Coturnix japonica: one gene and its partner. The protein of the gene in region 1 purifies or fractionates together with the protein of each later gene. This does not show direct contact. Links are inferred from orthologs where the notes say so. Each region holds a gene or a part of one and is shown on either strand. Other genes may lie near its edges. The genes, in order: LIMK2 and TTC1.

The links.
Region 2: the proteins of LIMK2 (region 1) and TTC1 purify together in Homo sapiens (affinity purification with mass spectrometry; 3 studies listed by BioGRID and IntAct, counting the BioPlex papers as one, with this or other methods). This does not show direct contact. The link is inferred for Coturnix japonica from reciprocal best matches to the Homo sapiens genes LIMK2 and TTC1.

The regions. Positions count from the first base shown.
Region 1 is NC_029530.1:8,042,347-8,046,782, reverse strand, and holds the start of LIMK2 (LIM domain kinase 2), read left to right. Parts: upstream 1-1,552; 5' UTR 1,553-1,574; coding exon 1,575-1,698; intron 1,699-1,923; coding exon 1,924-2,023; intron 2,024-4,436. UniProt on the Homo sapiens protein: Serine/threonine-protein kinase that plays an essential role in the regulation of actin filament dynamics. Acts downstream of several Rho family GTPase signal transduction pathways.
Region 2 is NC_029528.1:10,003,787-10,007,597, reverse strand, and holds part of TTC1 (tetratricopeptide repeat protein 1), read left to right. Parts: intron 1-2,834; coding exon 2,835-2,968; 3' UTR 2,969-3,811.

The DNA of each region.
Region 1 (4,436 bases):
AAAGTGATTTAGAATTAAAAAAAAAAAAAAAAAAAAAAAAGGTTTTATATCGACGGGAGTGCGCTGCCGTTTCTTTGTGCTCGGCGGACGGTGATGCACCGGGCCGAGGAGCTGCTGGGCAGGGTGCGGGTCGGGACCGGCGGACTCCGCGCTCCCGCCGCGTGTGGAGAGTGGGGCTGAGGGCGTGGCCGCGCCGCGATTGGCTCCCACCGCGGAAAGGGCGGGCTCGCTCCCTCCGACGGAGCACGGCGATTGGCTCGTATCCGTGAGGGAGGCGGAGCGCCGATTGGCCTGCGGCGAGGAAGGGGGCGGGGCCTCCCCCGGGGCGTGGCGCGGCGCCGAGCGGCTGCTGGCGGGACGGCGGGACGGCGGCGGGAACGCGGCCCAGGTGCGGCGCGGCCGTGACGTCACGGGACAGCGGCCATGGCGGGGCCGGCAGGTGAGAGACGCGGGGCGGGCGGGGCGCTGCTGGATGTATTGGGTGTACCGGGTGTGCTGGGCGCTGCGCATCGCTCGGGGCCTGCGGCGGAACGCGCCGCTTCCTGCCCTGACTGCCGGGCGGAGCTGCGGGGTCGGGCCCCGAGATACCGGCTGCGGCGCTGCGGGATTCTGGGCCCTCCGCGTCCTTGAGCCGCTCCGTGCGCCGGTCTCTGCCCGCTGCTCGCAGTCACTGAGCGCTGCCCTGTCCCGCTGAGCGCGGAGCCCCGTGGCTGTGCCTGATCCCCGCAGGCAGCAGCACGCTCTGAACTTAAAGCATCGCACTTACAGGCTGTGGGTGAGGGCAGCATCGTGCTCACGGACAGGCGTCCCTCGTAGCGCTGAGCTCTCCATCCTCTGCAGCTTCCCCCCCCGGCAGCAGGCAGCTGCTGTAGCGCAGTGATGGCAGGGCAGTGAGGGCAGCTCCCTTCGGTGGGAGCAGTTATTTGGTCCATGTAAGAGCTACCTGACATTTCAGGGTGAAGCTGCAGAGAAAAGCCTCAGACAGAAGGGGCAATTACTGAGCAACTGCTGGGTTTTAACGCTCTTTAGAAACTGTAAGTCTGTGGTTAGTGGTTTTCCTTCTCTAAGCGCGTTTCTTTCCTTACACATCTCTCTTGCAGCCAGCTTGCAGTAGCAGAAGGAAGCAGATCAGTGCCCAGCAGCACGACATGTCCTTTGTGCCATCCTGCGCTCATCCACATCCTCGGCTTTCTCTTAGATGTGCCCAAACAGCAGCTTGGCTCTCAGATAGCATTTCTCTGTGCCAAATTAGTGCTAGATTCTTTGTACTGTTTTTTTCTTTCCCAGTCTTTATGCATCCTGCCCGTTTCTGGGGCTTTAGGACTTCTTGACCATTGCTGGCATTTTCTGAAGGCACAGCAGGCAGTGGCAGCTGCTCCTCTTGCTAAGCCTGGCTGCAGTGCAGTGCTGGTCATACAGACTCTGCAGGAATATCCTTCTGAGTGTGTAATTCCTTCCTGGTGGCCAAGTTGTTCTCTGCTGAATAAGGTTTGTCTTTCTTCCTGTTCTGGGAAATCCATTTAATCACCCAAAAGTGCACAAATGTTATGTGCTGAGTCAGTGGCAGGAGGGGAATGGTAACGTGGCTTCCTGGCACAGCGTGGCTCCCTGTAGGGATTGTCACACTTGGCCCATCTCCACCTGAAATCTCTGCTCTGAGCAGTGGTGCAGCTCTAACGGTGCCATCTCCTGTGAAAGGTAACCTTGTTTTCTCCTGCAGAATGTGAAGGAGCACATGATGGTGTCAGGTCTGGAGGGAAAAAAACAGGGGTTTAGGATATTAGAGTCCAATTTGGGAACTCTAAACATTGGCGCTTATGGTCTGCCTGGTGTAATTCAGGGCTGTTCTTTATCAGGCATGGAGCAATCCTTGTTTTCTTTGATGTAAAACGGTTGTTGATGTGGCCTTATTCCTGTATACAGGTGAAGAAGTCTGGAGATGCCTGGGATGTGGGGACCTCATTGCTGCTGGTCAGCGCCTCTACAGGACAGTTAATGAAGCTTGGCACGTTTCCTGTTTCCAGTAGGTGCAACTTTACAGCCAATTGTACTCTTGGAGGATGGTGGATGCAGTACTGACAGTAACAGGGGCTGGTCTTGAGGCCATACCCTGCTGTCAGCTCTATGTCTGACCTGCTCTGCAGCCCGTGGCAGAGGCAGTGTGCTGCCGGTCATTGCCGTGCTTCAATACCCACAGCAGCCCTTTGGAACTGACCTTCAGTTCTGGCAGCAGTCTGGTGCTGCCTGGCCAGGAGCTGACACACACACGTATGGGAATACAGATAAAGTATAAATGGAGGCTCTGATTTGCTGGTGGTAGCAGAAGCCGCAGGTTGTGTCTTTGTCTGCACTAGCATTCAGAGGTACAACCCAGGCCACCTGAGCTCCTGTCGCTGTTTCCATATATATTGCAGGAGCAATATCAGGGTGTTGGGAAAGCTGCTGATCTGGCAGAGGGGGCTCTTGCCTTTTTCACAAATACTCATTCTAGTTTTCGTGCTCCAGAATTGCATTTCTGAAAGGAGCAGGAGCTTCTGCTGGCTTCTGGGTACGAGTGACTATGTCATGAATGTGCAGAGGTTAATGTGTTGGACCCTGTTAAAGCAAATAGAGGGTAAAAGAAGGCAAAGTGCGGCTTTGGAGGAATGTTTGCTGTGCTGAGACAGGCATCTGTCCCATTGTGTTTAATTTATTACTACAAAAAGACTTTGTTGAATTATTATGCTTCTTGGTGTATATATATATATATATATATATATATATATATATATATATATATATATATATATATGTAAAGCAAAGCATAGCAGGCTGCCAAAGCAATGTTAGCTCTATTGATTTGGAAAGCGTTGTTTGTTAGAATGCCTTGTTAATCACAGCTACTGCTCCATGTTGCTGCAAATCCGACTCTTTCTGCTTTCTGTTGGTCCGAGTGTTCATGTTCAGCTGTGTTGTGTCAGTTTCTCTAAGCCCTGTTTTTCTCTTCTCTCTTCCAAGCTGGAGTCCTGCTGTGGAGCTTCTCAACATTCTCCCAGTTAGCCAAACTCTAATTTGTGTGTGCAAGTCTTTCTTCTATGCCTCCTCTTGTACTATTTCTGATGCGAGTCCTGATTTGTAAATGCCTGGGTGCTTCTTGTAGAGGTGAATGACAGCTGAGCTGCAGGCAAACCACCCTTAGTGGCACCAGAGAATTTTATGCTGTAGTTTATATTGTAGAACAGAAGTCTTTTGTTTTTTTCTTCCTTTAGGTTTTCCTATTTACCTGCAATAGAAAGGCAGGTAATGGCTTTTCTCCTCAGATGTACAGTAACTTGCTGATGCTCTTCTCTTATGCTCATTACTTTTGGCTAGCTCTGCTGCCCAGCTTCGAGGCCGTGCTGAGTGAACAATTGGAACCTGCAGCAAAGGAAGCTGCCCTTCCCTTTTTCCCCGTTCCAGGCTAGCATTGCTCATGCAAACAGAGTTTGCGCTCTGCTCTCCTTTCTTTTCTGTTATCCCCAAACCATGCTGGGCAGCAGTCTTGTGCTCGATATCCCAAAGCCAAGTTTTAAAAAGCCTCTAATGGTAGGAGCCTTTGGCAGCCTGTAGCTGTGAGTTCCGGCAGCTCTTGTGGAGTGTTTTTTACAGTCTTCCTGTGGATTAGCTGCGTCTCTGGCCTGGCACATGATTTCTCTAATGCTGATTGGCATTGATCCAGTCTTGTTAGCTCTGTTAAGCTTGTTAGCTTGGTCAGGCGAGGCTGCTGATCATGCTTGGCACTGGTGGTAGCTGACGTACGTGCATGTCTCTGAGGATTTAAGTTTTTTGTCACTTCCCTCCTTCCTCAAGCTGCATGTACAGGAGCTTTGACCCTGAAACCCATGTTTTCTCTGATGTGACTTGGAGGGAAAAGCAAATCCCTATTCATATATCTTGGATATTTTACACTGTTCTTTGGCTAGCTGATCCTTAGGCTTGAATCTGTTGGGTTAGAGCTGGCTGTGGAGTCTTCTTTTAGATGTTTCTGACATAATCTCTGTTGTGAATTAACTCTGAATGTGCTTTTTTTTGCCTCTGAGATCTGTTGAGTTAGGATCCATTTCAATGGTCTTTTTTTTTTTTTAACTGATAAGTGGCTTCCCTGGATTTGGAGCATATATTGCACAGACTTAGCAAAGGAAATACAGAGGTGGCATGCTGCCTTTTTCCTAGATTTGGATCGCTTTTACCAGAGGGAATTATTGGAAGAAGAATGTGTTTGTCTCTTACTACCTATACCATGCTGTTCTTTTAGCTTTCAGTCCATTTTGTCCATATTACAAAACAGAAGGTGCTGCCTTATATGCTGTTTTGATGTCCGTTGTTTTGTTGATTCTCCCTCCCCACAGATAAAGACAGCATTAAAACAATTCCCTCTTTTTATAGGGATGTTGCACATTTACACACCTGAGGGATGG
Region 2 (3,811 bases), on another chromosome or scaffold:
AAAGGAGAATGGGGGAGGAAGAAACAGTGCTTTCCTGCAATGATGGGTTTATGCACTGCAAACAGCGGGAACAATGCTTTGGGCTTGAGTTCCTGGAAAAGGCAAGGCTTTCTTCTGCTTTATTAACATTTTAATTAACGTGGCTGCACCAAGAGGCAGTGCTGTATGTAGACTTCAGTGGCAGAAAAGAATGGTGAGCTGTAATCATGTTGCTTAATGTATAGTCACAGCTTGGGTGAGCTTAGAGCCTTAGCTTCTCCCAGAGAACTGGCGTAACTACAAGTAAGAATTGCCAAGGCAGTTAGTCCGTGTATATGCTCTAGTATGAACGGAAAAGAGCCATCACACTAACTGCCACTAGAAAAGGCCTTTCAGTGTTTCCTGAAACAGGCAAACTCGTCTGCCTGCTCCTGAGCCAGCTGCAGTGCTCGGATAACTTGTAAACTGTTTACAACTGGCTGTAGGAATGCCAGAATATGCCAGGATTCTTCCACCACCAGACAAAGACACTTCTCACCCAAAAAAAAAGTGAAGCTAAGCAATGACTGATTGTTTGTCTGAAAGCACAATAGAAACTATTCATCCCCATCCTAGAGACACTATGAATATCTTTGTCGTTTTATACCCAGAGTGCTTTTAGGATGAAGTGTAAAATTATGAACTCGACTTAGTACTTTATTTACACTGAACAGTGTGGCTTAAAAAAATAAATCTGTAGAAGGAAGCTAACCCTAAGTGAGCCACCCAATGGAGTAACCTTGACCAGATCACTCAATTACCTCGTCTGTTCATCCAAACAGGAAAATAATATTAATAAAAACAAAAAGCAAAATCCCATCCAACTAACGAGCTGCTTTTGTAGACAAGGGTTGCCTTTTTTCACACAGAAGACCTCAGAATTTCCATTTTGACTCTCAGAGGCCACTAAACATAATTGCACAGATATCTGAAAGATACCCAGTTGTGAACCTGCACTTTGATGCAAGATCTTTACTTACACTGGCTAATATTTAGAAGTACTGTAGTAACGATAACTGTTAGTTTCCCTACGCAGGATTGAGCTGTTCCTCAGACTGAAATGCTGGCGTTTTTTTACTATCATTTCTTTTTGTATTTTCTATGAATGTTTTCTAAAAGGTTCCCTGCTCTAATTTGGTTTTGCAAACGTGATTGGAATTAGTCTATTTTGAATTACTGGGGCAGCATTTAACCCGGCTTCAACAGTTGCCAGATAGTCTGCCCCTTGTCTCTTATATCTATTGAATAAGTTCAGACTTTGATACTGTTTCTGTTTTGAGTACAGTCACAGGGTTGCAGCATGGTGCAAGGCAGATGACTTGATCTGTTTGTACTCTGTGTACCATAAATACCATTCATGTCTTTTTGCAAAGGACTTGCATGGAACTTCACTCCTTACCTTGATGTATTTTGTCACTGCTGTGAAGTTACTACTTCAGTCTGGCTTAGCAAGAAAGCTCTAACTCAGTCCAGATTGTTTGCTGCAGTGCAGCGATAAAACTTAGCTAATAGCAGTAATAATTACTGCACTTCTGAGGAGAACTTGTCCTGGGTGCCACCTTAAGCAAAAGAACCTAGCAGAAGCATAGGAATGGAATGGTAACGGTTCTTATGACTTTGCTGTTGTATCCTAATACTTACTGTAGAAATAGAAGCAAAGGTAGAGATGACATCTAGAATAACATGTGCACTGCTTGTGTCTAAGATTGCTTTAAGAAAGTGCACACATGTGGGTTAGGAACAGCCAGGAGGAACGTAACATTTTTCTTGGAGAAGCAGCCATCCCTTCTGCCTTGTCATGCCAAGAGATCAGCTGCTTGTCTTCAGCCTGCACTGAAGGTGTTACTTTTGCCTCTTGTTTAATTTTATGCATTTTACCTATTCTATGATCTCTGTTTAGATATGATTTTTTTTGAAGGATGTCCTTTTGTTGTCCTTCTCCTTTTATAGGTGGTAGGAACTATTGTTTAGTAGAGTCAGACAGCTTGTGTGGTGTATATATTAATAGTAGCCTTTGGATTTTAACTGTTGTACCTTATGTATATTTAATCATGCTCGTTAAATAACGGTTGCTTAGAATTCCTAGCAGGGATGAGTTAGCTGCAGAGAACTGTAGTTTTGAACATGGGTTCCTGATGCCAGGATGTCATCTGTCATGCTGAGAATGGTAACAAAGTTATATGCTTCAAATGGAACTGCTTAGTTAGAAGGTGCAGGTACATTGATGGATTTGTTTTAATGTTTGTTGTATCAATATACGTAATCTAGAAAGAGATCTGTAATAATTACGAGTGAGCCAGGTTTGAACTTTGGCTTTCTCTGTTTCTGTTGGCAGACTAGGAAGGTGGGCAGTTCTAATATCACTGAATGTTCACAGAACTGTAACTGCACCAAAGTGGCAGGAACTGAAAAATTTATGTTAAAAAACAGAGTGTTGGCAGGTATCAAATTATATCCAAGGCTAATTTTTTTGTGTGCTGCTAAGGTCCTGTAAGGAGCAATTATGACAGAGGAAATAAAGAACTACAAGGTAGCCAGAGACAGATGGTGTCTGCAGCCACTGTGTCAGGGCTGCCTGACAGACCTGGCAGAATCTGAACTGATCTGCTTTCAGCTCCAGAGCTGACATTGACTACAGCACAACTGGAACTTTTTTTGTTCATACAGGAGCCTAAATATCCAACTGACTGGAGAGATTTCTGCAGCATTTACCTTGAATTAGTAGATAAATTAGTGGAGCTGGAGTGTGTAGTTGGGCATCATTCAGTGGGAGTTTTCCCTCTGCTTACTACTCACGTATTTCTTTTTCATTGTAGGCAAACTGAAAGATCTTGGGAATTTGGTTCTCCGCCCCTTTGGCCTGTCAACAGAAAATTTCCAGATAAAACAGGATTCATCAACTGGCTCATATTCCATCAATTTTGTTCAAAATCCAAATAACAATAGATAACGTGAATATTCAGCTTAGTTCTGCTGGCTTTCAGGCATCGTGACCATGTGCTTGCACGCTCCAATACAAGGATTCATCAGACATTCTTCACTCTATCCAAGTGAAGATAGACTCAAGCAAATTCATTTCCCTGCTTATAAATTATTTACAATGTGGATGTAAAGAAAGTCGGTTGACTTCTTTTAGTGATAACTATGTCCTGTGTGTGATTCTTCACTTGCAGTATTTGGCTTGTCCACCAGTCAGGTACATTATTTTGGCCCATTCAATACTGGCAAGAAAATTCTAGCAAGCAGTTCAGTTGAATGAAAATGCCCGTGCACCTGTGGCCAAGAAAAAAGCCAAATGGTGTCTTGGGGAAATTAACAAATCTAGCAGAAGCACATCTCCTCGTTCAGGAGGTGGATGTGACTGGCAGCATGCATAGAAGCAAGCCGACCTCCTCTGTGGAATATATTTTCTTGGTAATAAAGGCTTAGTATTTCTGTTGGGTTGAATGTGAAGTTTTTGCCTTGTCTGAATCCTTTCCATGGTGGCAGTGTTGTTTGAAATTCTTATATCTACCCACAAATAACATACATACATGACAGTAATTTGATGCACTTGAGGTGGTTTTTTTTTCTTGCTTATCTCAACATCAGTAAATTATCCTCAGGATACTCTTTGTTTACTTTTATTTTTTTAATAGATATTTATTTTCTTTTGAAGGAGATACAGAAGCCGTGTAATGTTACATATACACCTTGGAAAGGTCACATAAAGTTCGGGAAATCTGCTTCTCTAAGACTTACTCATGTTACAGATTCCCATTATGGCCAACAATTGACATTGAAATCGACTGTG